Pelodiscus sinensis: one gene and its partners. The protein of the gene in region 4 binds, or shares a complex with, the protein of the main gene of each other region. Links are inferred from orthologs where the notes say so. Each region holds a gene or a part of one and is shown on either strand. Other genes may lie near its edges. The genes, in order: TP53INP2, WDFY3, CALR and GABARAP.

Region 1 (7,277 bases), on a different chromosome or scaffold from region 4:
CAGTGATCTAATGACTTCTGACATGTCTCTCCACCTGAAAAACACATGGTAAAAACAGGTTCAGCTGCTGGAATTTGCCTGCAGTAGGGCTAATGCATATCTAACCCTTCTTCAGATGGGAAGTGAGCTTTGTTGCATTTCTGTAAACTTCCATTGTGTAGGGGGTTGTAGCATATACTTCAACACGCCAGTGCTAGTAAGGCCTCAAACGAAGGACACCTAGGGTCATAAGAACGGCCATATTGGGTCAGACCAACAGTCCATCCAGACCAATATCCTGTCTGCAGACAGTGGCCAATACCAGATGCCTCAGAGGGAGGGATCACAACAGGTAATTCTCATGTGATCCTTCCCCTGTCACCCACCTCCAGAGAAACAGAGGCCAGGGAGAGCAGAGCTTTTAAGCCTATTCTGAAATCTCACTGAAGTTAATGGAACTTTATGCACACACTTCAGTGCTTTGCTGAATGGCGGCTAAAAATCTATCTGGTCAATCTTCAGTAATACGGGATATAGAGAATTCAGCTTAAATACATCTGTACCTTGCACTTCATGATGCTAGTATTTCCATCGCAAACACCTTTATAATGTATTACACCAGCTTTGTATCAGACAGTTGAATAGTTTCAGATTTAACTGAGCAGCTGTAAATGTTTTTTTTAAAGTATTTTCCCCTCCCTAACTAGATATATTTATGGAGCATCATCCAGACTGTAGAAGACTGTAGAAGGTCAGGGACATAACTTTGCTCCATTCACTAGAAAAAGTAAATAGGAAAATCCAGGTTCTGCAATAGTGTTAAGATTATTAAAGGATATTTTAGTGCAGAATAGTCTTATCCAGCCCTAAATCTCTCAAGTACTTACGGCATAACTGAACATCGTCATCTTAACTGTGTGTGTGGGGGGGGGGGGGGAGAACAGGCTAGGCTTGCAAATCTGCATGCGTCTGTACTCCATTAAATACGCTTCCGATGAGCTACATAATCAGCTAGCTCAGGGAAGCAGCCTCCAAGTTCTGCCCAGCAGAGAGGCTACCACTAAGCAAAGGCATTAGGACCCCTCCCCCATTTATCGGCCTCACTCGGTGCAGCAGCCTGCCCTGGCCTTGCCCGGTAAGGCAAAGACAAACACCAGACGGGCGTTTCGCCTTCAAAGCCGCCCGGGCATGCGCGGCCGCCCAGCCCCCCACGCCCGCTGCAGCCCTCGGCGCGGGTCAGCAGAGGACAACTCCGCTCCGCGGGCCGGAGGCGGGCTGGCGTGCCTGGGTGACGTTTCAATGTCATATGCAAATCACGAGCGCGTCACCATAGGCTCCCAATCCCGAGGAGCCAATGGGACGAGAGCTCGGCCGTGAATCGGAATCCGTCGGTGGAGAAGCGAACAACAAGTAGCGCGCGGGGAGCGGGGGCTGCAGCTGAGCCGCGGGGCCCCAGCCGGTTGGGCGGCGCGGACGAGAGAAATCGCCCCCTGGCAGGAGCCGGGCTTTGCTGCGGGGGAGGGGGGGAGAACCGGCTTGCTTGGCACCCAGGCCCGCTCCATAGACAGGGAGACGGTGCGGGGCAACCCCCCGTCCTGCTGCGCGGATAACACCGGCTGGGCCAGCCTCTCTCCGGCCCTAGGCCGGCTTAGTCGCTAAACCCTGCGCGGATCTGGGGCAATCCAGCTCTTGTCCGTGCCAGCGAGAAACGCCCCCCCTGCAAAGAAGGGGGGATGGGAAATCCATCGGGAGACAAACCAGGCACCAACTTGGCTTTTCCCAGTGACCGGGACGGCCTGTCGGGAAGGGCTGCGAGCCGAACCGAGGCCGCTTTGCATCGTCTGAGCAGGGGACACGGCCCGAGCCAAAGCAGCCGCCGCAGCACAGCATCGCCCCCCGAGTTGCAGTTAATGAGGATGGGCCCTTTCCATTCGCTTGTTCTGACCCAGCTGGGCTCTCTGCTCACCCCCCGCCACACACACACCTTCGTGTGCAGTATGGATGCTCACCCCACTTCTTCTGGCAAAGGGGAGTCGAGACAAATGGCTCCTCTCCTGCATACCAGCCGGATCCCCGGTCCCAGTGCATTATTTCTGGTGACCTCATAGGTCTGTGGTTGAATACCAAACCCAAGCAAAATCACCATCTTGGGTAGTTAGGAGGATGTGGGATTAACGGGGCCATTTGCTCTCCCAAACCTACCTCGACATTATGCTTCTTTGCCGCCCCCCCCCTCCCGCCAGCCCCCATCTGGCAAGCCGAGAGAGGCAGACTTGTGTGGTTGAAGTAAGAGCCTCTCTCCAGATCCAAAACGACCCTGTTCTTTCACCCTGGTCGCTGATATATAATATAAAAACAACAAAAGACCAACCTAGCTTCATAGCTAATAGTCTCCCCAAGAAGCTAATGAGCTGTGTTCTCCCTTCCAACACCACACCAAAGCACAATGCACACAACGTACTAAAACACAAAGAGATGTCCCTGCCTGCACTCAGCTAAATACAAAGGGACCTTCAATCGCCCACTAACCAGAAAACAGATGACCCTTAAATCTTAATAAAATCCCTGGGTGAGGGTGTAACACGCACCCAAACCACTCCGTGCAGAGAGAGAAGTCTGAAAACATCAACAACATACTCCATTAAAACAACCATACTGCCGGCGGCAGTACAAAGAGATGGTTCTCAAGTTTGAATTTAGCCAGCCACATTTCAGAACAGAGCATGGCACTTACCTTGCCTTTAATGTCAGCAAATATTTTGTAAACAACACCGCAAGAAACCCACAAATTGTGTTAAATATCGTAAAGCACCAGCTTTAGGCAGTCTGTGAGGTAGTTTTAATTGAAATCAACAACACTAGTATAAATGGAAATTTAAAAAAAAGATGCAGGAGGTGGTGGTGGTGGTGGTGTCTGTTCTTCTCAGAAGATATGCACCATTGCAAGCTGTAGGCGGCTGCTGTTGCGGCCGGACCCTCCCTCCACGGGCTTCAGGGTTCTTCTTATTTTCTGTTATTGCTGCTGATCTCAGACCAGATCAGAAATTAGAACGTCCAAACAGCTGATTGTGGCGTCACAAAGGGGGCCGCCCGCCGAGGGCGTAACCCGGCGGACCAGGAGCCAATAGGAGGCAGGGCTAGGTTGAGGGCTGGGCTTCAAGGATGCAGCCTGCGAAGGGATGGGGGAGGAGCCGGAGCTGCTCCATGTGAGCTCCGGGACCCGTGTGAAGTCCAGGGTGCGGCCGTGGGGGGCTGCAGACAGCAATCGGGCACTAGGTACGGCTCGGGCTGGGTGCGGACCTGAGCCTGGGCCACCGCCGCCTGCTCTGTCTAGGGCGGAGCAGCATCCACCCGCCCACCCCAAATCTTCAGTGGGCAGGAGGCTTCCCAGGAATCTGCTCCTTCGCCCCCCTTGCGAGCAGGCTAGAGGGCAGCTCAGCCCCCGCCTTCTGCCCATCTCACCAGCACCCGCCCTTGGGCTCGCTGGGTGGCCTTTGCTTTCTTTCCCCTTTCAGCCCGGTAATCCCAATACTGTACACTGTAGTCGGTTTGGGCTCTACCTTTGAGAGAAGAGGGAGGGAGAGTTAGTTATAGTTGAATTTTGAAGCAACTGCCTCATACCATCTTGGGACTGTCCAGCCGTTTGAAATATGAGCACTACCTTTCCCACCTCCCCTTCTTTCCTTACAAGATTGGTGACACTGAAACCACTTTAATTGAATTTCAGTTGCTTTTTAATGGAAATGTCACACTAGTATTTTGATACAGGACACAACTGGGGGGAAGGGTACTTCTGTCTTTCTTAGCACCTGTTCTAATCTTATCTCTTGCTAGCGCACTAGCCCTTTCTCCCTGGCTCCCCTCAACTGAGAAGCAAGACATACTTGTCTTGTACTCTCAGAATATGGTTCTTTAGCACTGTCACATTAATGCAAGTATTGGACAACTAGAAGATTTTTACCAGGGGTCCTTAACTCAATTAATTTTTGTTTTTCTTCATTGAAATCATTGCAGTGGTGTGCTGCCCTCTCTCACTGCAGCAGCTTGGGGCTAGGTGAGAAGTGCCTTTCCATGGCCACTGCAGCTTCAGCAGGTAGAGGCAGGGGAGGGCCAAGTCCAGGTTTGTCTGTCTCCTGCGTTCTCCAGCAAGATTGAGGAATGAAGCAAATTGTGCACCCTCACTCCCTAACAAAGGGGAACAGCCAGTACTGTTCCTAAGTGGTGTCTGGGGCAGTCATCCCCTTTCAACTGCCCGGTGATTGTCTCTTCTGTATGATTTTATGCATCCTTGTATGCCTGGGAGAGAGGTGTCAGCTCCCTCCCCCCCCCTACACCTAAACTCGTACCTTGCAGTAAGTTCTGTATATCGAATTTGGTGGTTTTAGCTCATACCGCTTAGGAGGAGTTCTTGAACAAACTGACAGACAGGCTTGCCCACAGAGAAACTCTCTCAAATATATAGTAAATTAGAGACTTTAAGGCTGTGTCTAGACTGGCCAGTTTTTCCAGAAAATCAGCCGCTTTTCCGGAAAAACTTGCCAGCTGTCTACACTGGCCACTTGAATTTCCGCAAAAGCACTGTTTACTTTTCATTTGATATGTGTTTTATCTGCTAAAATAATTTGATTAGAAAGGCTGTTTACACTGTATTATAAGTGTGTGCATGTGTATAGTGAAGCACATTTTTTGTCTTTCCAAATCCTGTGTTTGTCTTAAAATGTTTCATGATCCCAAACTGACCGCGAGTCAATGATGTGATGAAACTGCAAAAAAGGCTAATATCATTCTGGGGTGTAGTCAGAGGAGTGTTGTATGCAAGACTGTAGAGATAACTGTCCTGCTCTGTTCTGCACGGGTGAGACCTCAGCTGGAGTACTGTGCCCACTTCTGGGCACCACACTTTGAGAAAGATGTGGACAGTCTGGAGAGAGACCAGAGAAAAGCAACAAAAATAACAGACAGATTAACAAACCTGATATCTGAAGAAAGGTTTAAAAAAGGAGGCATGTTCAGTGTTGAGAAACGAAGACATTAAGGGCTGTTATAAAGAGGACAGGAGTCAATGGTTCTCCATGTCCTATGTTCGGTGAACAAACTAATGAGCTTGATCTGCAGCAAAGGAGATTTGTTAGATATTAGGGAAAGCTTTCCAACTAAACTCTGGAATAGGCTTCCAAGGCCGGTTATGGAATCCCCAGAAGAGGAGATTCTCAAGAAAAAGGTTAGCAAACACCTGACAGAGGTAGGGCCAGGTAAACCTGGACAGTCTCAGCACAGGGGAGCTGGATTTGATGACTTTTTGAGGTTTCCTCCAGCTCTACACTTTCATGGTTCTATGCAGGAAGAGCTTGCAGCATATCTTGCACCATGCTGAGAAATATAAGATGGCAAGTCGAGTGACATGTATGTTGAAACCACTTTTGTGAAACCAGAAACTATCAAGAACTATCAAGAGCCCTGGTAGCTGTCAGGTGGAAGACACTGAAAACATAAATGACACCAGTGGGGAATAAATACAAGCGATCCTCAAAAGAGGAAATGAAGTCAAGGATTACTGCTGATAGAATAGAGACCATTATTAACAAGCTAGAGCTGTGCATTGATCCCTGAAACACCACTAAGCACCCAGACACAATAGTTAACATTGGTAGTGGTTGGTGATATCACTGTCTGTAGATGTTCTTGCAGTTTGAATTTGCTAAATGCAAGATTTTGAACTTAGCTTCCCTACAGGGTTCTATGACACAATGCTAAGGCTACGCGAGATGCTGGTGTTGACAAAAAAAACCATGCATAGGTTAGCCCACCTCAGGTATTGGACACTAACTTTATTTAAGCAAGGATCCTCCCTCGGAAGCCTACAAGCAAGTTCATGACAGGTTGATATCAAGAATATTTCATCAGTGTGAGTTGGCTCCTCTGTGTGCAGTGACTTTGGTGACATGAGAACTGCCAAAGCTAGGCCTGGCCTAAAGAAGCAGCTGCAACTGACAAGGATTCACTTGCACATCTGTCAGTTCTGCAGTTCTTGGGATAGTACTCTGGCCAATAAATGGTTTCAAGGACTTTGTGACCAATTTCTGAGTTGACATACATGAGTTAGTAGCAAGTGATGGAGATCTTGTCTTTGACAGGTCCAAAGACTTCACAGCAAAGAGCGTCAAAGATCTAGCAGAACTAAAGAAGCAAGCAGAGCACAATACAATTCCCCCTGTCTTGTCTTGAAAATAAGAACCTGTTGACACATAATTGGTACATCATGTTCAAGACAAGAAGTTGCAGCAATGACACACTAAACCACAAGCTACTCATCACAGGCAGAGACAACACCCCTAGCTGAAATAAGCCAGGGAGGTGTGATCAACAGAGGAGATGTGCTCATCTGGCATGAGGAAGCTGATAACACCCTGGTACAACAAACAATGATGGCTGCAAAAAAGAAACAGGTAGGACTATAGGTATCATCGGATGACACTGATGTTTGTCTTACTCTTGCATCATTACCTTCAACAGAGCCTCACATCTTTAGTGAGGACAGAGCCCCTAACACAAGAGAGAGCAGAGCATAATAGCTCATGCTGCTGTAGAAGAACATCAGCACTGCACACTCTGGCTACGTCTAGACTGGCATGATTTTCCGCAAATGCTTTTAACGGAAAAGTTTTCTGTTAAAAGCATTTGCGGAAAAGAGCGTCTAGATTGGCACGGACGCTTTTCCGCAAAAGCACTTTTTGCGGAAAAGCGTCCGGGCCAAACTAGATGCGCTTTTGTACAAAAAAGCCCCGATCACCATTTTCGCGATCGGGGCTTTTTTTGCGCAAAACAAATCTGAGCTGTCTACACTGGCCCTTTTGCACAAAAGGACTTTTACCCGACTGGGAGCAGCATAGTATTTCCGCAAGAAGTACTGATTTCTTACATGAGATCATCAGTGTTCTTGCGGAAATTCAAGCGGCCAGTGTAGACAGCTCGCAAGTTTTTTTCGCAAAAGTAGATGCTTTTGTGGAAAAACTTGCCAGTCTAGACACAACCCCAGTGTACGGTGGCTTCCAAAGCTGGCCTCAGCAGAGGCACTGAGTTCAGATTCATGCAGCCTGCATGCAGTCTCTCGGCTGGGTGGCATCAGTGTTGCAGTACTTGACGCCATTGACCAGGCAACTGGATTCATGCCTGGATGCTACAGACAGTTCAGCTTGGCCACCATGTCCGAAATCATGGGCAGCAAAATTCAGCCCGGGACCGCATCAACCCCAGAGCTCTGCTCCTTACCACCAACTGAAGCAGCTCTAGAAATGGAG
Region 2 (7,751 bases), on a different chromosome or scaffold from region 4:
GGGGCAGACTGGGGCTTCTGACCCCAGCTCCTGGAAAAGGGTTGGTTGAAGGCAAGAGCTTCTTGGATGCCCACTGCCCAAGGGCTCCCTCTGGAGAAAAGAGTAGCTTATGCTGAAGTCAATGTCAGCTTCTGAGACCAGTAAGGGCCCTCAGGAAGCAGCAACCCCACCATGGCAAGGGAACACTGATCACCTCTCCCAGAGCCGCTGATCTGTAGCATGCCCAGAGGGCTCTTACGACCACAGCAGCATGGCAGAATGCTTGGATGTGTCAGACCAAAGGCCCTGTCCTGGTCTGTAAGGGCATGCTAGGAGAAGACCATGTTAACAGTGCCTCTGTGCTTCCTGCTTATCTCTGGACTGCGGCACCTGGCCATTTCCCTTCCATAGAATCCTAGGGCTGGAAGAGACCTCGGGAGGTCATCGAGTCCAGCCCCCTGCCCAAAGCAGGACCAACCCCAACTCAATCGTGCCAGCCAGGGCTTTTTCAAGCCAGGACGTAAAAACCTCTAGGGATGGAGATTCTACACACACTTCCCTTTCTGGGGATGGCAGGATATTTTCTCTTGCACTGGCTCCCTGCTGTGGGGAGTGTGGGCGTAGCAGAGGGGCACAGGATGGGTCTACAGAAAATGCAAATGACAAAAGGAGACAAGTTCTTTTTGATGGATTTTATTGTGTGTTTCTAAATGGCCCAAAGGGCTGGCCCTTGCTCAATGCCCCAGAGGAAGGCAAAAAACCTCCAGAGTCATTGGCCAATTTGCCCTGGAGGAAAATTCCTTCCCGACCCCAAATATGGCGATCAGTTTCACCCTGTGCATACGAGCAAGGACCTACTAGTCACTATGGTTACAAACCTTGTCCTACTCCACTCTGTGTCCAAGTATTAGCCAGTCTCCAGTGCTTTCCTCTTGTCTGATGAAGCTCAATTCTGCATGCATCCTAGCAGATGGAAACAGCTGTTCCTCTTGGCCCAATAGGTACCCCATGCAACTTTTGAGCATGGCTTCTTGAACAATGTCCACACTGGCTATGTTTCCTTCATCTGAAAGTACAACCAAAGCCCCTGAATTGCACTCAGAAATGATAAGCAGGTTCTTCACCTTCTAATAAAGATGAATCCCCTTGTGTCAGCTATCATTCTTGGCTCCTCTTGGACCCTGAGACTATGTGGACTACACTGCAACACTATTTCAGGATACCAAAGTATCCCAAAATATCTATCTCATGTCTTCACAGCAAGCCCATTATTTTGGGCTCACTGTTCCGACATCCCTGTAAACCTCATTCTATGAGGAGTAAGGGATGTTTTGGAACAGCACTTTATTTTGAAATTTGGTACTGTGTAGACAGTGCCAAATGACAAAATAAGCTATGTTGAAATGGTATTGAAATAAGATATGCAATTTGCGCAGCTCAAATTGCATATATTATTTCAAGTTATAGTGCAGTGTTAATGCACCCTGAGATGTAACAAATCCTCTGACTCAATGTAAGTTAGCAATTTTGTGGAGCTGACTATGTTGCATTTACCAAATTCTTCTCTTACATCTCATCAGAGCCAATTTTGTTGCTCTATTGAATGAAGTAGCTGTGATTTGATATCTTAAGAGAGCCAATTATCCTGCCAGGTGATAGGAATGGCCTTGAACAGATCCATACATTTATACTCGAAAATCCTGAGCATTTATAAAGCGTATCTCCTGAAATGGCAAACCAGCTTCACAAATTAGTTCCTTAAAAGGGATCAAAGTTTGACAGGTAATTTGGTTGCTCATCAGTTTTACATGCCCATAAATGTTCCCAAAGGGAATGGATCATAAAGTATCTTGTACAACAGAACCACAAATGCTCACTTTCTTGTCAATGACCATCTGCTGAATTGTTTGGATTGAAAAATGATGGTGACTGCCTTCATTGTCTGCCCATTTTAGTCATGAAAGCCAACTTTTCTTTGTTCTCTGCAGGTTTGGCCATGTCTTCCTTTATGCCTAATAATGTAACTGCATATACCTTTCAATCACTGTGAGATCAGATCAGCTGCATTTCTGTTACCTGAAAAGGAAACCCAAATCCATAAACTCCTTTACCATTGTTATGAGATGAGTTGCTTACCTCTGGGCTTCAGTGAAAGATCTTTTAGGAACTTCCTGAAGTTTTCTCACCTTTATTGTTAGTAGGAACTGCACTGCCCTAATCAGAAAGTATGAGAGGATCATTTCCACTTGACTGTTAAAAAAAAATACATTTGGGGAGATTTTCTTACCAATTGATATGCCTGGTTCAGTTCATTCCAACTGCATTCTGAAACAGTGAGAAAAATGCATACCTTCTGGGTGAAGAGCTGCTGTATTGGTTTATTTTTTCTCTCCATACAACCAGTTTATTGTTTAAAATCAAGTAGTTATAAATAACACTTTCCTTATAGTTGACTAGAACAAGTAGAGAATTCTCTAACCTTTCAACAGCTTTGGTTCTGTACATTGCTTTAGTTTTACAAAACTTGCTAGCAGCCTTTGACAGCAGAGGATAGATTCACTTCCTTCACCTGAAAGTACAGTCAGTTTAGTTAGTTTCCACTCCATTGCTACCAGGATGTGAATCACTTACCTCTTGAAAGGAACAGTCAGCTTCTCGTCTTACTTCTTAATTGGAACAATGTGAGCTTCTGACAGAGGAGCTGCAAGGATCAAATCAGCAGAATAGGTAACTGCAATGTCATCTTTTGAAATCCGATGCCACCTCTCAGCTATGGCCACTTGCACCCTTTCCTCTTTGGATAGTACAAATGCCTGTGTTATTAAGCCCAGTCATGACAACTGGCATTTTTGCCACCCTCAGATTTCACAGTAGCTACATTTTCCCCACCTGAAAGTATGAGAGGAGCCATCCATTTCCATTTCAATGTTAAAAACGGGTCGTTTTTGTTTTATTTTGTTTTTCTTACCAATTGATAGGCCTGGTCCAGCTCATTCCTATTGCATCAGTCCCTTCTAGAACACAATGGTCCTCTCATCTCCTTCCATCCAGACATATGCGATCTGCGGTAACAATCAATGTGTGCCAGATTGATCAATTTATTCACTCTGCAAATGTTCCTTTAGCACCAGATTCACCTGAGAATCAAGGAAACCCAAATGCTCACCTCTGTCTGTGATGTGCTGCTGACTTGCTTCACATTCAAATTTGCAACTAGCCAAACCATTCAAAGTGACTGACCCTCTGTTCCTAGATTCCAATTCCAAGGTGCTGTTATTTCGTCAAGTGATTGGCAGCTGGCAAGTCTATCCATACTGCTTTAAGTCTGAGTCTGCTTTATACACTCTCCCCTTGACAAGTAAGGTCAAAATCAATTTTTCTGCCTAAAAGTAAAATCAACACTGTTTGATGTGCACATGGCTATCTGGAGTCAGACCTTCCTTACCTCTTGCCAAAGACAGCCACTTTCCCGCACTTCTTCCTGGTAGGAATGGCCACCTAGTCTGTTCATATCTCGATTTAGGAAAGCCTGCAATCATCAACATTTGAGAGAATTTTATTATTATTACTCAGTACCTCCTATGTAGAGTCTTTGATGGAGATGGTTCCTTAGCAACCAGATCATTAGGATTCTAGTGACTTTTCAATGCTCACCCACTTGTCATGGTGTTTTGCCGCATGGCTTTGATTCTTACAAGTATAGCCAGCTACATGGGTTAAAACTTGAAGAACAAAATTGTCTGCTTTTCTTTTTCTGATCTAGAAGGAAAAGTTGCTTTTCTACCCTCTGGGCAGGCATAGTAACTTGTCTGACTTTATCCTTAAATTCAGCAGCCTCTAACCTTCCTGCCTGGAACAGCAAGACCTTCATTTCACCTGAAAATAGAAATGGAGCCTTTTATTTCTGGCCCTGGGCCATGAGGCGGTGCATTCCTTACCTCTTGATAGTAATGATCAGTTCCACTTCTCTTTACTTGACCTTTCATAAGTAAGCAACAATGATCAATCCTGCAGAATTGGAGTGGACCAACTTATCTCTGAAAATGTAAGAGAAAGTTAACATTGATTTTCATGCTGTGATTTCACTTTTTCTTTGAAATAACATCACTGTTACCACCTTGCAAGAACAACCAACAGCATTATCGGAAGGAAAAATGAGGCAATATGATCTCTAGTTATAATTAACATCTGCTGTCCTTACAGCTGGATAGGTAGCCCCCAGGTATTTTTGTTTTATTCAGTACAGCCACTTTTTGTGCTCTTTAGAGAGATGTAGATTTCATCAGTTACTGGGTTTTTTTTTCTTCCTCAAAATATGACCAGCGCCATTAACTGTTATGGGAAGGTGTGTTGTATTTCTTACCTCCTGAAAATAATGGATTAGCTAGATCAGGTAAACTTCTTGTAAACTGCAGTCACCTGTCATCCATGACCCGCTGAAAAGACCTATTTGTCAGGCAACAAATGTAAATTATGTGTCATTAGATTAATGTTGTTACATTGAGTAAAATGCATACCTTCTGGGTGAAGAGCTGCTGTATTGGTTTATTTTTTCTCTCCATACAACCAATTTATTGTTTAAAAATCAAGTAGTTATAAATAACACTTTCCTTATCGTTGACTAGAACAAGTAGAGAATTCTCTAACCTTTCAGCAGCTTTCCTTTGCTTTAGTTTTACAAAAGTTGCTAGCAACCTTTAACAGCAGAGGATAGATTCACTTCCTTCACCTGAAAGTACAGTCAGTTTAGTTCATTTCCACTCCATTGCAATGAGGACGTGAATCACTTACCTCTTGAAAGGAACAGTCAGCTTCTCATCTTACTTCTTAATTGGTACTATCTGAGCTTCTGACGGTGGAGCTGCAAGGATCAAATCAGCAGAAACAGGTAACTGCAATGTCATCTTTTGAAATCCGATGCCACCTCTCAGCTATGGCCACTTGCACCCTTTCCTCTTTGGATAGTACAAATTGCCTGTGTTATTAAGCCCTAGTCGTTACAGCTGGCTGTGTTGCTTATATTTTGGCAAAGGCAATTAGATTCTACCTAATGCTAAAGACATCAGCCAAGGATCTCACTCCTATCTACTTCTTCGGTGTGTCTCCTCCTTTCTCTTCTACTGTATCCTCTTCCCCCATTCTTATATCTCCCTCTTGTCTCTCCTCCTTTCTCCTCTCTCTCCCTTCCACAGTTCCCTGATGTTTCTATCTGCTTAACTTCAATTTCCCCTCTCCACCCTTATAGATACCTCACTCTACCTACCAGCCTTGTCCCTGCCTTTCCTTCCTCCTCACCAGAACTCTGTCCTTTGTCCTTCTGTGTCTCGCCTTCCATTTTGTAGGAAGTCGGTGGGTCCCAGAAGATGCTATTTCTTTGCCCTGGTCCCTGTCCTGAGACCTAGACATTAGCCATGTGCTCTGGATGATGTCCTAGTGTGAAATGCTGCAGCCCTTGGTGACTGACCCAATAATCACTGCATCACAGCTGAGCTGTGGTCATTGTCACCCCCTCCTCATTTGGGCAGTGTGAGCAAAATGACCAGCGCCAAGTCCCCGCCAAGGGAGCTAGTGGGGAAAAGGGCTCTGTCTGGCTCTGCAAACCATTGAATGAGTCACCACGCTTCAGTCAGCAGTTGGGCTGTTTGTTCCAGGGTCTTGTCTGGTTTCTTACCTGTGATTTGGATGGGGTGAGAGGCAGCCCTCACCTGTGAACGCTGACATCAGGAATCCCTCCACCGCTTGTCTCGGTCTCTGTTTGTCTAGGGTGCTGCCCTTACGGCGGAATGTTCCACTTCCCTCACAATTGGCCTATTCTGAGCAGGGCTGAGTTCCAGCATCTTGCTCAGAAACCAGTGGGAGCTGAGAATGCCCAGCCCCTCTCAGCACTAACCGCGTCGGCTGGATCTCACGGCTTTGTGCCCGTCAGCGCTATGTGGAACCCTCCCTCTTACGAGATAGGCTGATCACTGCAGAATGTGCCACCAGCCAGGGGTTTCAGGGTTTGCTGTAGATGGGTGGATACCAGAACCATGACACTACCCTTCCCTGGTTGCTGGGAGTTTGATTAAATGACACGTGCTGTTGGATGCATGTGGGAGTTGTATTGGTGCAGCTCTGGGCAGGGAGCCAGCTCAGCAGATCAAACTGCCTAAAAGGCTTCTTTAGATGGGCAAAAGTGCCCTGGCCAGGTTTATTGCTGACAAAGCATAGTACTAGTACCCTCCAGGCCCTGTAGGGACATGAATACTTGTATACCTATGCCAATGGACCTGCTCAGTCAGCAGCAGGACTCTCCACTGCCCCCCCAGACAAAGACGTACCTTCTGAGACCCCTCCTTCATACACTGAGACAAACAAGTTACATATTACCCCATGCTTTGTACCTGTTGGTTCAAACAAAACATCTCCAACTTTTACCCTGCTGTCTTGAACTTCTCTCTAGGAGGAGTCCGTGTGTCCCTTTCCCCTTTTCAGGGCGTGTATGTTTATATCATAGCTTTGTATCAGCATATTCTTGTGGTACCCTCCTGGGATGTGTATAGTGACTAGCTAGAGCCTAGTTCTACTTGAGAAAGCCTGTGTTTTCGTAAAACCAGCCATATTCTTGCCAAGTTTGCACACGGAGCAGTGAAGTTGTAAGCAGGCATCTGCTTTGTAGCAGGGCCTGACTCATGTTGTGGTTTTTTGATTCTAGCCCCATGTTACAGGCTCTGACCTAGTGCTGTTGCCCTCCCTGAGCCACAGTTTGAAGTAACTGTGATTAGTGAATCATGTGCTGCGAAACCTCTGGCATTCTTTACCTTTGTTCTTTGTTGGCTTCCTTAAACTAAAACGGATCATTCTGGCAAACTCTCTCTCTCGTCTTTGTGCTTTGAAAACATAACCCAGTGCACTGTGCAGACACAGAGCAGACACTGTGGTGGCTCAGAGCCTGGGTATGTGCAAGGAAGTGTTTCTGTAACAGTGTCTGTTCCCCTCACACCTTCTCCCTGTTTCTTTTGGTGTTACTGTGGCATTGCATGCACCTTCTGGAGTAAGGATGGGGATGTTAACGTACTTGCTTTTCATCAGCTCTTTTCACCACAGTGTGTCACTTACGGAGGGTTTGTTGCTTCAGGGCTACTCCGCCTGACTGTCCTACTCTAGCCTAGCTATCCAGTTGCCCTGAAAGCTAAGAAAAACACAAAACAACTGTTTGGTTTGGCGTTGGACTCTCTGGCTGTGCAGATTTAACCTTCTGTGTGCCTTGCTTCCCTTAGGCAGCAAAAGAGAGAGGAAAAAAGTCCCAAAAATTCCAAACAGCAAAACAGAAAAAAAAGATCCCGAGGTCTGTGTTCCTGGTTCAGAATGATCACACCACTCTGCCACCATGTCAGGGCTGTTCCTCACTCTGGCACTCCAAGAGCAGAAAGTAGGGGCCCACAAAAGACCTTAAAAATACCTTGCCTCTCTAGGCTTCTGCTTGAAAGCTCCCCAAGGCCACCAATTCCCTGGCCTTGGGAGGTAGCTGCCCACCACCAAATGAAACAAGAGATCCCTTTCTTCTTGAAACCAAGAAGGAAGCACTTGGACTTCTTCCCGAGGGGTATCCCCAAGCTCTTTTACCACAAGAAAGCTTGGGGAAAAAGAGAAAACAAAACTGCAGTCTCTGGTAGCTGACTTCTCAGTCTTAGACTTGCATACACAAACACTGGCCTTCCATTTCCTTCTAGCACACAAGAATCAAATTATTGCTTTAAAAAGGTGATTTTATTATCAAAAAAGATATACTT
Region 3 (6,906 bases), on a different chromosome or scaffold from region 4:
CAGGCCGCACAATGAGGGTGTAGAGGTGGGAGAACTCATCGTCCTGGGCAAGGGAAGGAGCCGGGGATCAGAGGACCTGGCTGGAGGAAGGCTCTCCGCTCCAGGCCAAGGAGATCTCACTCCAGGCCCCCGTGGCAGGGCAGGAGCCCTATGCCAGGATACTCACTTTGCAGCGGATGTCTTTGTTGATCAGAACGTTCTTCCCTTTGTAGTTGAAGATCACATGCACTTTTTTGGTCCCTGGACCACAGATGTCAGGGCCTGGATCGGAAACAAGCCACAGTTTAGCAGAGCAAACCAGCCTGGCTCAGGAGGGCCTGAAATGACAAGTCACTTTGTTCCAGTGCAGAGAGCTGGCAAATGCAGCCCCAGCAGGACCAGGTGCTAGCTCACAAATAGAGGGCCCAGTGTGGAGCTAGTGACAGGTTCAGCAGGGAGAGTAGGTGTTGAATGGGGCTCAGACTAGACTCTCCCCTCCCCCCAACCTGGCAGGCCACTCAGCAGAAAAGACAGGGGCAATGTTTGGGGGAACAGAGCCATCTAGGACAGGCTGGTCTCTAGGATTCTCAGGAGAAACCATCCCAGGGAGTTACGGGACAGAGTTTGTATTTCAGGTGCAAGTCTCAAGTTCCTTCATCTACCACTGGGGTGGAGCAGAGCAACAATGCATGACCTCTTAGGGCATGAAGCAAAGAACCCCCTTGGCAGCTGAAGCCATCCAGCCACACCACTGGCCCCATATGACATGGGTTATCCAGCAGCTTCCTAGCACAATGCTGGGCCACTAAGCACCCCCAGCCACTCCCAAGGTTTGGGAGAGCTCCCATCCACACACTGCAAGCCCCACCCTGCTTTGCATGAGACCCTAACCTCAGTCCAGGCCCATGTGGGTAATCCACAGCCAGCAAAGGCTATGGAGCTGTCCCACGCAGAGCCACTCACCAAACATGATGTTGTACTCCGAGTCCCCATGCATGTCCTCCTGGCTCAGGCTTGAGGGAAAGAGCTTGACATAGCCACCACCACAGTCAATGTTCTGCTCATGTTTCACAGTGAACTGCACCACCAGGGTCTTGTCCTTGTTGCTGAAGGGGTCAAAGCGAGCGGACAGGGCGTAGAAACGGGCATCCTGGCTTGTCTGGAGGCCTGGCAAGGGGAGGGGAGAGAGTCATGAGCTGCCAGCTAAGGGGAGCAGGATTCCTCACATAGCTGGCCTCACAGCTCAGCTGGCCTCAGAGCTCAGCACATCTGGGCAACAGGCCTCTTTGCTCATGCTCAGCACTCTGCAGCATGGTGCCTGCATACAGAGCCCCATGCCACTAACATAAAGCTAACAGGGCACAAGGCAGCAAAGAGATATCCCTCCTCCAGCCACATACATAGGTGCATTATGGGGTTCTGTCAGTCATGGACCCATGCTCCACTGTGCAGAAAGCCAGTCCTGTCCCAGAGAGCACCCGATCCAAGCAGCACCCAGAAAGCTAACCCATTACAGCCAGAGTAGGATGAGAAGGATGTACTGGGCTGATTTGATGCTAAGGTATTTATAGAAGTGCTGGGTGACTTGGAGGCAAGTAGGAACCAGCCAGAGGAGCCAATGGGCAAGATAGTTAAGAAAAGATGCCCCGATCTCCTCAGTACATCCCCGGAGGGATAGCAGAATGCAGCACGCGCACGCGCACACACAACTTCTCACCTTTATCCTTCTCAGCATCCCCATAGAACTTCCCTGCCGTCAGTTTGAACTTCCCATAGTCTGACTTGTGCTTTGACTCCACCCAGCGACTTGTCCAGGCATCTGTGGGGAAGAGACCCAGGCATCAGTTTGAACAGGCCCTAGCTCTCAGAAGGTGGGAATGTGACCTACAGACCCAGCCCACACTTGGCCATTGACTGAGGAAGGCCCTGTACCTTACCTTGCTCCATCATCACAGGCCAGAGAAGAGCTCTCAAACTGGTTGGGTAAGCCAGTCAGCCTGGAGTAAGTCTCTTTCACCAGGCAGGGAACCAAGGGAGAAAGGAAGTCACTACCCCTGCAAAGTTCTGACTCCCAGGGCTCCAGCCACTAGCCCACACACCCCCTCGCAATAATATGCCTACTTCATTCAGCAGGCCGAGTGGAAGTTTTCTGCCTCAGGCATGGTCAAGTGCAGAGCAGAATCTTGCATTCCTCCTCACATGAGCACTAGCTGTTCCCGACTAGAAGACAATACCCAGGAACTGAGTCACCTGCTGCTGAAATGCAGCCTCCTCCAACATGGAACATAGCATCTGTATAACAGCTTATATTGCTGATTAGTGCCTCGGATCAGCGCGCCCTGAGGGTGCCGGTACATCCCTCTGCAGTGGCTGGGCCAGTCTCTCAAAGCTCCCGTAGGGACAAGAAGCAAAGGAGCAAGCCAGGCTCACCTCGGGGCTTCTTGGCCTCCCAAACAGATTATGACACCGGCTCCAGCTGGGCATGAGAAATGCGGGGGGGGGGGGCTTCACCTACAACTGCAGGCTTGCACCGCCGCCAGATTCCTTCCAGCCACCCCTCCAGGCACAGAGGGGCTGAGCCCGGGCCCCCCCCGGGCCCCGCTCTGCCCCCCCCCCACGTGCCCCCGAGCACGGACCGGTCCGTGCAGAGCAGGCGGGCGATGCTCGAGCAGGGGTGGGGGGGGCCCCTCCCAGCGGGGGGGTGTCTCTAGGACTCTCCGCACCCCCCGGAGGAGGCCAACAGGCCGGGTGGGGGCAGGCCCAGGCCCGGGTCTCGGGTGCAGGAGTCAAAGGGGGGGGCGGTGTCCCCGGGCCCCCCCCCGGCCGTGACCCCCCCCCCTCACCTCCGTCCCCGAACTCCTCCCTGAAGAGCTGGGCGGGCCCCGCCGCCGCCAGGCCCAGCAGGCCGCACAGCGCCAGCAGCGGGCTCATCGCGCTGGGTCCCACGCTCGCGACCCGGGAAGCTGCACAGCTCGAGACGCCCCCACCTAGCGGCGCACCGGACACTGCGGGCGCGCCGCCGCCGGCGACGGCTCTTATAGGCGGCCCGGCCCGGCCCCCGCCCCCGCCAGCTCCCCATTGGCCCGTGCCCTCGCGGCGCGCGCTCCCATTGGCGGGCACCCCGCGCGACGAGTGAGGCTGCGCCCCCGAACGTTGGCGTCCCAGATGGCCGCTTGCAATTGGTTGTCGGGCTCGGCCAATGAAGAGCGACCACGCGTTCGGGGGGAGACGCCTCCTCCTCTCGCTGGCTGCGTCGCCGCCGCCTGTCAGGTCACGTGATCTCTCGGGCGCTCTTAAAGGGCCAGCTCACAGCTGATCAGGCTCGTTCTCACCCCTGGTCAATGGGGGTCACCCTAGCCCAGCCCAGCCCATAATAACCACGAGCGGGGCAGGTGATAAAAGAACCCCAGTGGAGGAAGGAGACCTGGGTACAGGGCGGTGATGCATGCTAACCTGGGGGTCCATGGCTGCGAGCCTCTCTTTGGGAGGGGTCCAGGAGACAGCAGCTGGGAGCCAGGACGTCTTTGCTCTGCCACTGACTTTTCCTGAGGTTTCGGTCAACTCACTTAGGCCCCACTTTCCCCTCTGTGAAGAGACCAACCTACCTTCACTGAAGGCTTGTGAGTCCCCAGCTAAAGGCACGGCTTCTCGCAGAGGCCCCAAAATGTTTCATCTTTGCCTTCGTAAAGTCTGTCCAGGAAACCTAAAGAAGAGAAATAGCCAGTGCCAGGGCTCTGTGCATGGTAAAGAGCTAAAGGTTCTACTGTGGAGGAAGTTCTAATACCAAAGCCTCCCCATTTCTACAGCCCCTCCTGCAGCAGTGCACACGATTTGCAAGCTGTGTGAACAAAGATCTCTGAAGTGCAGCTTCCCTGGCTTATTTATTTACTATCCTCCCTACTACTAACATGCAGCATCTTCTGGGGTGGGGCACAGCAGCTGTTCATTCAGGGATCCCTCACCCAATGCTGAGATGCAGCTGTTTCTGAGGTGGGTTGTGGGGGCTGTTTGTATAGGGATTCCTTGCCTGGCACAAAAAAGCAGCCATCTCACAGATGGAACTAGCTGTCTGTTTAAGAGCTCAGAACAACACTGTTCAAAACAGGGGCAAAACCCCCAGCTAACAGGAAACAGCTCTGGGACGTTACACATACCCAGCAGATGGCCAGCCAGGTGCCTGGCTAACCTGTGCCCAGACTGCCAGTAAGCAGGGGTCTGCCCCAGGCCAATTCAGGACCCTCAATCAGAGGATTCTGAGATACGGTTTTAATAGAGTATCTGTCTATCCACACCTACATGTTCTAACCACCTATCCCTTCATGCACCCCACTAACCACCCATCCCCATAAACACCCTTCCATTCTCATCCATACCCTTACCCCGCTACACTCTCCACTATCCATCCATCCCATACATAGCATCTCTCCACTCAAATCCATATGCACCTCGCTATTCAACCACCAATTCCTTCAATCTCCATACGCATCCCTCCCTCCACCCATCCCCACATACATCTTCTAGCCCCATACTCAAACTCCCATTCACCCATCCCTCACACACCCCACTATGCACGCATTCCATACATGCCCCCTCTCTATCCCAAAACATACACACCCCACTGGTAATTCCTCTGTCCCCACATGCACTCACCCCTCCATCCACACACATCCCTCTCTCCATCCCCATATGCACCCCACCATGCAGCCCTCTTTACCCCATCCACACTATCTGTGGATTTTCTATAGTGCCCATCACCTTTGGCCTCCCTGAACACAGATGTCCTTGTCCTCTTATCATTGTCTGCCTAGCATCATTTACATAACAGACAGGCTGTCCAATCTCACCCCATTCTTGGGGTCTGTTGTGCCACTGAACTCTAAGATTTCTATTACACGAGCTCCCCAGCCCCATGGGGCTGCCACACAAACGGATTTTCTTTTGCAACCCCAACGGTTTAGCTGGCAGCAAGGCCCAAGAGAGATGGCAGGGCAGGGTGTGCCAGAGAGATAAGTTACAGAGGAAAAGAAAGAGGGAACTAGTTTGAGTGTCTGTAAGGATAGGCTGCCCAAGAGGTCGGACTTGTTGGGTTTCTCGTTATTACAAATCTCGGTGCCTCATCTCTCCCTTAACCACAGCATCATGAAGAAGAAGATCCCAGATAAGCAGCAGCTATCGTGTTCTGAGCTGGTAGGACCGTGACTTTCCCAAGGGAGTGCGACTTCCCCAAAGGACCGCCTGTGCAGAACAGAGCCGTTGAGTCCAGTTCAGATCCTGGAAGCTAGGCTGGATGGGTGATCACTGGGCCAAATCCCAGGGTGCTTCCCTAAGGGGCTTTTGGCCATAGGCATGGGAACTAGGGGGATAAGGAGTGCTACAGCACCCCAGGCTCCTGGCCTAGTACCTGGGGTTCCTGCTGCCACTCCATGCACCAGGTTTTTGGCTGTTGGCTCTGCGCACTGGGTTCTTCCTTTTGTCAATTGCATAATATACCACACATACACCAAAAGGGCCTCCAGTAGCAGAGGGGGTTTGCGACCCCTTGATACCAGCTGGCAGAGGACAGAGGCGTGTGTAGAGTTAGAGGGATCTTGTGGGGCTAATATCTATATTATAGCATGCCAAACGGTGGCCTGTGAAGTCTCTACCCAAAGCCAGCAAGACACTGGACATTGTGATGATTGCAAAGCGGATGTGTGGATATGTAAGGAATCATGTCTCAAGGTCTGTGAGATAAAGCAGTCCCCAGGCAGGAAGGAACAACCATGTTTCCCTTTCTGTCAGGGTGGCTGTGTCTAGCTGCCAGCTGTCTACACTGACCAGCTGTCTACACTGACCACTTGAATTTCCGTAAGAACACTGACTTCCTACTGTCTGAAATCAGTGCTTCTTGCGGAAATACTATGCTGCTCCTGTTCGGGCAAAAGTCCTTTTGCGCAAAGCTTTTGCGCAAAAGGGCCAGTGTAGACAGCTCAGATTTGTTTTGAGCAAAAAAGCCCCGATGGCGAAAATGGTGATCGGGGCTTTTTTGCGCAAAAGCGCGTCTAGATTGGCACGGACGCTTTTCCGCAAAAAGTGCTTGTGGAAAAGCGTCTGTGCCAATCTAGACACTCTTTTCCGCAAATGCTTTTAACAAAAAACTTTTCCGTTAAAAGCATTTGCGGAAAATCATACCAGTCTAGACGTAGCCGGAGTGTGTATATTGCATGGCCCAGGGCCAATTCAATCAGCATACAAACCAGTAGATGCTCCCAGAGACCTTTGCTGTCTTGGCCAGCGTCAAGCGTGAGGGCTTGCAAAGAGAAAAGATGAAAGGGAGGGTCTTTTGGGGAAAGGAACTTGATTCTGTAGCTACATAACAGAAGAGAAGAGGGGACAAGATCTTATCCTTCACCGAGGAGCTAGGCTGCTGGCAGCGTGTCTTCTCAATGGAGGGTCATAGGCACTGGAGGGCCTGTAAAGCACTGGAAGAAAGGCTCTGGGGTGAGCTCAGTGCTAGGAGACTGGAAAATACCTCATTAGTTAAGTGCAGGCTCTAGGATGCATGCTGCGATTGGATTTTAGAGATCACCATTTGTTTTCACTTGTTCCTCCATTCGATAAACGGAACCATGTTTTCTCCATACTCACATCGTGCTACGTTAGGCTCTGTCTACACTGGGAAATTTTGGCGACAAAAGTGCTGCCGACGTGGAAAAGTCAACGAAAGTGAAAACCGATAAAACCAGTTTTTCTGCCTCCCATTGTCACCATTTCATGGCCACTTGGCTAGCACCTTGCTAACAGACAGAGCAAAGCATTGTGGGGGAGCATCCCACCAGGCGGAGTTGTGGGAAAGCAAAGCTGATTCCCGCGCTTCTTGGGATTCCCTTGTAGATCTATGAGCTCTCAGTGCTGAGGAACGGCAAAGCAGCACAGCGGCCTCTCCAG
Region 4 (6,607 bases):
GTACAGGGCTCGACAAATTAGGCAATCTACTCACCTGTGGTGAGTAGATTTTAGTCCGGTGGAGCCACAAAGCACGTTCAGCACAGGAGCAGCACGGTCTGTGTAGGCGTAGTGTGTGCTTCTGGGGGGCTGGTGAGCAGGGGCTCGCCAAGCAGCGGCAAGCCCTGGTAATATATTTATGTACACCAAGAGGTAAAAATACAAAACCTAGCTTAGCTAGGTCTGCTAACCACTTCGGTGGCATTTGAATCTCTCCTGCATGGCACCAGTGCAGAGTTTATAGAAAACACTACTCTGATCCTTCCCAGAGGGATCTATTCCTGCCCCCTTAGCTGTCCTTAGGAAGGGGTCCTGAACCCCCATGTGCTTTATCTGTACTTCCTCCCCATCCATCTTACAAGCACCCTGTGGTCAGCCATCATACAGCAAACACCCTTGATCCACCACAAAGGGATTGCCCTGGCCAACCCCTCCACTCGCCTCACACCCCACTACAGAAATAAAAATCCATACCACAATCAGGGTTTCCCTTCTCATTTTATTATGCCCCAGACCTCTCTACACACCATGTTAAGAGACTTGCCAGACAGAACCCCCTGGTGACAGGTCAGGCCCTGCTGGGGATGAGAGGTCAGCAATTTGAAGAATGCAGGGGGGATGTTAGAAAAACCCTTCATGGCCACAAATCAGAGCAGGAGATTAACCACGGAAACCCAGACAGAGTGGGGAGGGGCAGTTACATGGAGGGCTGTAATTAGGCAGTTGGGGGTGTCAGAAAAAAAAAAAAGGTTCTTATAGAGATCAACCAATAAGAGAAAGTGCAGGTCCAATTGGGGAGGAGGGCACCCCGGTAGCCAGGGAGGATGGCGCCTCACATGCCATAGACGCTCTCGTCACTGTAAGCGATGTACAGGAAGAAATCTTCCTCATGGTGTTCCTGGGAAAGGAAAGAAAGGAAGATGTCAGTACCAGGGAGAGCCAACAGGGGGTAACAGGATAGCACCAAATACTACCAGGGAAAACACCCTTTGCTGCACCCCTACCCCACACTAGCCTCTAGCGCCACCCTGAGGCCAACCCTGCCTGTCAAAGGAAAGCACCCCCTGCTGAGTCCCCACACTGCTCTGTCCCACAGCGCCCCCTCACGCCCCACCTGGTACAGCTGGCCCATGGTGGCACTGGTGGGTGGGATGACGTTGTTGACAAAGAAGAACAAGGCGTCCTCAGCCCGTAAGTGGATTCGCTTCCGGATGAGGAAGTAGAACTGTCCGACTGAGGGAGAAGAAAGAGGGGGGTCAGGATGGGAGAGGGAAATTCCTCCTTTATGCAAATCCACAGTTCATTTGCTCCACTCCCCCCCTTTCCCCATCCAAGACCCTGCAGTTGTCAGATGCTGCCTCCCCATATTATGTGGGGGGACTACAGAGAGCGGGGCATTCCCTGTATGGGGCACCCCCCAGTTTATCTAGCCCTACTTCTAGGCTTGAGGGGGCCTTCCAGAATCCCCTCCCCCCACACTCCAGAAATCCCCACCTGTCCCCTTTAAGGGTATATTGCCTCCCCCCAACAGCTCCCACAGATAACTCCTCCAACACCTCCCCCTGCACTGCCCATGCAGCCCACGGCGGCTGCTGCCCCCATCCTCAGCATGGCACACCCTGGGGACAGCACTCACCAGTGAGGTCTGACGGCACCAGGTATTTCTTCTTATCCAGGTCTCCTATTCGGGCTTTGGGGGCTTTCTCCACAATCACCTGGGGAAAGAGGGGGGAGGAAATGCCATGGGTCAGCCGGCCCCCCCAGCATTTGGGGGGCTCGGAGCACACCTCAGGGGGCGTATAGCTCCCCAAAGGAGAACTGGGATGGAGCCTGGTCAGCCACCCATTGGGGTCCAGCGAGGAACCAGCTCAAGAGCCATGTCAAGGCTGGGCTGTGGGAAGAGGCGGGGGGCTAAAGGGCCCCCCAGTGTCTGTGGATGGTAGCAGCTGGGGTACCCCTCACCCAGTAAGAGGGGAGCGAAGTACCCCCCCCGCGCACGGTGGGTCCGGCCGGACCAAGCTTCACACGCCAGGGAGGGGCAGAGCTTGGCCGGGCGCGGCCGGTGGGGGCCAGGGTCTTCCCGGCGGCGTTGGGGAGGCCTCAGCTGTCTCACCGGGACGCGGTCCGGGTATTTCTTGCGGATTTTCTCGCCCTCGCAGCGGCGGCGCTCGAAGGGCTGCTCCTCCTTGTACAGGAACTTCATGGCGGGCCGGCTGCGTCACCAGCGTAACCCCCGCCCGCCCTGCGCGGGCTGCGTAACCAGCGACCGTCCTACGTCCTCTTACTACGCCACCCGCATAACCTCTGCGCACTGAGCAGGCGCCAGTAGCGTAAACAGCGACGAGCTAGGTTAACTCCCTGCGACACCAGCGAATCCTCCGTCCGCCCTGCTCTGGCTGCGTAACCATTTCCCATGCTACATTGGCTCCGAACGCAAGCAGCGTAACTCCCTGTGCCAACAGGGCAGTCCTACTTATCAAAAGTGTATCATCACCCTCCGTACGCCGCCTGCGTAAGTGCCCCTGCCTTGTGTACCCAACCCTGTGCCATTTGCTCGCGCAACTAGCGTAACCACCGCCCGCCCTACGTCAGCTCCCTGCGCCTCTGAGGTAACCGACCCGTGCTCTATTGGCTAATGGCCTTCGCTCTGCGCCCCGCTGATTAGTTGCTCCGCTGGAGCACGTAACTCGTGTGGCCCCTCCAGCGCCACGAAACAAGCGTCTATTATGCTTCGCCACTAACGCAGCCGACTCCAGCTACACCCGCCAAGAAACACTAAGCAAATAGCGTAACGGTGGAATCACCTCGCTGCTTCCCGCGGCAGCTGCGTACGTTAACTGCTGAAGCTACGGCTTCCCGCTTTATACTGTTTGCGTATCATGAACTCCACTTGCGTACTCCCACGCTCGTGGCGTATCACTTCCTCGGCAGGGAGCGACGCTGCGAGGTTTACGTAACTCCCCCATGCCAATAAGAGGCCTTCTCAGTCGACCCATTTCGGAAACGCACTCCTCCCCGGGCAGCTACGCAAACCCAGGATTCACAGAGCTACGCCACCTGCGTGGCAGTGCGACACCAAAACAAAATAGTGCGGGGAGGCAGCGCCCCGAGGAGGGTGTGGCCACGGGGGGGGGAGGAGAGAGTCAGGCCTCGCGTAGGGGGCCCCGCAGGGAAGGATGGCAGAAGGATCGGGGGGGGGCGGGGGCAGTTTCACGTGACGTACAACGCAGAGGGCATTGCCACGTGATCACGGGAAACCCCTGGTTTGCAGGGGTTGATAGGCGACACTGCCACGTGACAAAGGCGTGGCCCAGAGAGACCAAGACCAATAGCGGACAAACGCGACGCAGAGTGGCCGTGACCAATCAGGAGGGAGCATAGCAATAAAGGGGGAGGTGCCAGAGATTGTGGACCATACCACAGGGTTAGCGCTCGGGGAAGCGGGTAAAACCATTGGGGGAAGGGCTGGGAGCCAGGATGCCCTGGCAGGGGGAAGGGTGCAGTGGCCAGAGCGGAGTATCCTGCTCCCCTTAAGTCTGGCACCTGGGGATGGGCCCCTGCAGCCAATGGGGGCAGCTTCGTAGGGATCTAAAATTTTGTTTAATCCGTGAACTTCTTAAATGGAGGCGTCGCAGCTGCTGCCCCCCTCCAGTTAACCATTCAGAGCCCTGCTGCTCATGGCCAATGCATGGAGTTGGCAGGGAGGAAAGGAAAATGCTGCCAACTTGAGAGGAGAGGCTCTCCCGGGAGCCCCTCCTTCCCCAGGGCTTACTACAGTGACCAAGGGGCCAAAGCACCAGCCCCTCCCCCACAGGCCAGATTCCCTTTATTGGTGTCCCACAGCCCCAGGACAAACCCAGCTACCTTCAGACTGCACTGAGGTAAGTCACCAGCAGGATGCCCCTGCAGCAGGGCTGGCTTGGCTTGAAACTGACACAGATGCAGCCACTTCTGCAGTAGGGTGGCCAGTCACACAAGGGCCTCTCACCCAGCACTACATGACCACCTCTGGGGTGTGGCTGCAGTTATATAGGGACCCCTCACATGGCACAGAGAGATGGGCAGTTCCAGGGTGGGGTGGCTGGTTATACAGGGACCCCTCACCCAGCAGGGCAACTGGTTACACAGGGACACCTTTCTCCACACCAAGCTGTAGTTACACAGCTCACTATAGTTAACATCAACAAATAGTACACAGCTGCCCACACAGCAAAGAAGAGACAGTCCCATAATGCAGCCTGCTGTGGCAGGGGACTGCAGGAAATACCTGAAAGCAAAACAGGTTCCCCCTTTGCTGGCAGATATGAGTGTTACATGGCCTTTTTACTCTTGCCATTTTATACTTCAACTAAAAAAGGGGATATGCCCTGCCCCACAGCATCCCTCCATGCCACCCCCTACTAGGCATGTAAAAGAATAGTCAACTCTCTCATAAGCCAAGGCCAGTGTTCTCTAAGCCAGTGGTCCCCAACCTTTTCAGGTTGTTGGGTGCCAGGGGGTGTGGCCGTTCACCCGCTGGGCGCCAGGGGGCGGGGACACTTGCCCGCCTGGGGGCAGCCCCCCCAGCCGCATGCCCGGGGGCGGGGCCTCCCCCATAGCCACGTGATCGGGGCCGGCACACCCCGGCAAGCCCCGCGCGCCCGGGGCTGGCGCCCCCCCCCCCCCCGTAAGCGCCATGCGCCCGGGGCCGGCGCTCCCCCCGTAAGCACCATGGGGCTAAGGCCGGGGCTGGCGCCAGCGCCGGGGCCAGGGCACGCGTGGTGCCCCCGGGGGCGGGGCCAAGGCCAGGGCTAGGGCATGCGCGGTGCACCCGGGGCCGGGACCAGCCATGCGCCTGGGGCTGGCACCTGCCAGCCCAGATTGCTCCGCGGGTGCATGTAAAGAGCCCGGCGGGCGCCATGGCGCCCGCAGGCACCAGGTTGGGGACCACGGCTCTAAGCTGTGCAGCTGTACACGTGATTCGTTAGGTCCATGCAGGGAGCACCTGTGTGTGTGTGTGGGGGGGGGGGGGAAGAGATCATCTGTGATGCTGGGCTGCAGCACACTTTAAAATCAACACTGGCCTAGGTTTATTGGATAGTCAGAATTCACTACTCACATTCCTCCCCCTTGCTACCTCCATATCAGAGGCAGCAAAGCAATGGGTGTAGGGGGGGAGGAGCCAGCTTAAAAACCCATTCCCGGCAGATCCAGGGCTTGGGGGGCAGGGGGGAAGAAGAGAGGGAATGGGGGAGGCAGAGGCACCAGCACTGCAGCTCTGCCTTTTAAATGTAGGAAGAGCCACCTGGCTCTTCCAACATTTAAAAGGCAGAGGCACAGCACAGGTCCCAGACCCGCTCCCACTGTATCTCTGCAGTTTAAATGTAGTAGGAGCCAAGCTGCCTGCATACCTGGCTCCTACTACATTTAAACTGCAGAGCCACAGCAACCCCCTATCAACTAATCAAGTAGTTGATACAAATTATAGTCATTTACTCGATACTTAACATCCTTACCCCCCCTACTACGCTCTGGGGTCAGTCCTACCTGCCAAGGAAAAGCATCATCTGCTAAGTCCCCACCCTGCAGCACAGGGTCAGCCTCTTCTGCTTGCTGACTACAGGAGGCATCTATGCCCACCTCTGGATGAGAAGGGGCATTTCTTCAGACCCACAACATAGGGAGAGGAGTACAGAGGTCCCATCCCATGTAGAATTGGGACCTGTAAAGGTTCTATCCTGCCACAGGTGGGGCTTACAGTGATCTCAGCTGCTCCTCAAACACTTCACCCATCTCCACACACCCCATCCAGCACCCAGATGGCCCTCTCACAGGGCTCTCCTGCTTCCTATCGTCACCAAACTGTAGCAGGCCCAGAGGCCCTGCAAGCCCTGACAGATCAGTGAGGGAAACTGAGGTACAGATCCAAGCCCTGCCACTTGTGAGCAAAAATGGGCACTGAATCTAGCCATCCTCACCCCTTTGGCTGCAGCTTCCTCTCACCCCAAATTCTTCCACCACAGTCCGCTAGAAACGGGAAGAGAACTCCTGGATCCCAGCCTCGTTTCCCCTTGCTCTAACTGCTATTTCCCACTCCCTTCAAAGAGCCAGGAAGACAAAAGGAGTCCTGGCCCCCAGACCTCCTGCTCTAACTCACCAGCCCCCATTCTCCTCCAAGAGCTGGGGAAGGAAGTCAGAATGCATGGGTTCTAACACCCCACCCCCAAACACTGGATCCCACTCCCCACCCAAAGCTGGGGCAGGACCCAGGACTTCCATCACTAAAGTCCAACTGTTGAACAAGTGTAACTGGTTTGGGGGGGGGGGGGCGATGAACCCTCCCCCCTGTAAGAACTCTCTGAACACGGCTCCATTTCTGGCCTTGCTTAGCGGCTATAATTTGTCTCCTGGGTTTTCATTTCCCCCAGAGTCTGAGAAAAACAGAGAAGGTCACCCCTGGGGAACAGATCCCAGAGCAAAGACCCACCCCTAGGGAGTGGACCAAAACAATCAGATGGCTTCAGGTTGCTAAACTCAAAAGGGAGCCAGTGAAAGGCAGGCTCCTGTTCAGCCCAGGACACAGAGAGGG

Evidence for each region.
Region 1: the proteins of GABARAP (region 4) and TP53INP2 are in contact, whole or in part, in a crystal structure (PDB 8T31), measured with the Homo sapiens proteins. The link is inferred for Pelodiscus sinensis from reciprocal best matches to the Homo sapiens genes GABARAP and TP53INP2. Residues at the interface, in NP_009209.1 of Homo sapiens: Tyr5, Glu17, Ile21, Tyr25, Arg28, Pro30, Val31, Ile32, Lys46, Lys48, Tyr49, Leu50, Val51, Pro52, Asp54, Leu55, Gln59, Leu63, Arg67, Phe104; in NP_001316358.1 of Homo sapiens: Glu31, Val32, Asp33, Gly34, Trp35, Leu36, Ile37, Ile38, Asp39, Leu40, Pro41.
Region 2: the proteins of GABARAP (region 4) and WDFY3 are in contact, whole or in part, in a crystal structure (PDB 3WIM), measured with the Homo sapiens proteins. The link is inferred for Pelodiscus sinensis from reciprocal best matches to the Homo sapiens genes GABARAP and WDFY3. Residues at the interface, in NP_009209.1 of Homo sapiens: Glu17, Ile21, Lys24, Tyr25, Arg28, Pro30, Lys46, Lys48, Tyr49, Leu50, Val51, Pro52, Asp54, Leu55, Leu63, Lys66, Arg67, Phe104; in NP_055806.2 of Homo sapiens: Glu3342, Lys3343, Asp3344, Gly3345, Phe3346, Ile3347, Phe3348, Val3349, Asn3350, Tyr3351, Ser3352.
Region 3: the proteins of GABARAP (region 4) and CALR are in contact, whole or in part, in a crystal structure (PDB 3DOW), measured with the Homo sapiens proteins. The link is inferred for Pelodiscus sinensis from reciprocal best matches to the Homo sapiens genes GABARAP and CALR. Residues at the interface, in NP_009209.1 of Homo sapiens: Glu17, Ile21, Tyr25, Arg28, Pro30, Val31, Ile32, Lys48, Tyr49, Leu50, Val51, Pro52, Leu55, Phe60, Leu63, Ile64, Arg67, Phe104; in NP_004334.1 of Homo sapiens: Asp199, Trp200, Asp201, Phe202, Leu203, Pro204, Pro205.

Annotation. Positions count from the first base shown.
Region 1 is NC_134728.1:30,990,663-30,997,939, forward strand, and holds the start of TP53INP2 (tumor protein p53-inducible nuclear protein 2), read right to left. Parts: upstream 3,001-7,277; 5' UTR 2,714-3,000; intron 1-2,713. UniProt on the Homo sapiens protein: Dual regulator of transcription and autophagy. Positively regulates autophagy and is required for autophagosome formation and processing.
Region 2 is NC_134715.1:13,065,574-13,073,324, reverse strand, and holds the start of WDFY3 (WD repeat and FYVE domain-containing protein 3), read left to right. Parts: upstream 1-4,744; 5' UTR 4,745-4,867; intron 4,868-5,242; exon of another isoform or gene 5,243-5,429; intron 5,430-5,650; exon of another isoform or gene 5,651-6,037; intron 6,038-7,751. UniProt on the Homo sapiens protein: Required for selective macroautophagy (aggrephagy). Acts as an adapter protein by linking specific proteins destined for degradation to the core autophagic machinery members, such as the ATG5-ATG12-ATG16L E3-like ligase, SQSTM1 and LC3.
Region 3 is NC_134729.1:13,045,276-13,052,181, forward strand, and holds the start of CALR (calreticulin), read right to left. Parts: upstream 3,001-6,906; 5' UTR 2,911-3,000; coding exon 2,823-2,910; intron 1,799-2,822; coding exon 1,697-1,798; intron 1,147-1,696; coding exon 943-1,146; intron 262-942; coding exon 167-261; intron 44-166; coding exon 1-43. UniProt on the Homo sapiens protein: Calcium-binding chaperone that promotes folding, oligomeric assembly and quality control in the endoplasmic reticulum (ER) via the calreticulin/calnexin cycle.
Region 4 is NC_134734.1:9,615,060-9,621,666, forward strand, and holds GABARAP (gamma-aminobutyric acid receptor-associated protein), read right to left. Parts: upstream 2,437-6,607; 5' UTR 2,243-2,436; coding exon 2,153-2,242; intron 1,755-2,152; coding exon 1,676-1,754; intron 1,273-1,675; coding exon 1,154-1,272; intron 938-1,153; coding exon 872-937; 3' UTR 519-871; downstream 1-518. UniProt on the Homo sapiens protein: Ubiquitin-like modifier that plays a role in intracellular transport of GABA(A) receptors and its interaction with the cytoskeleton.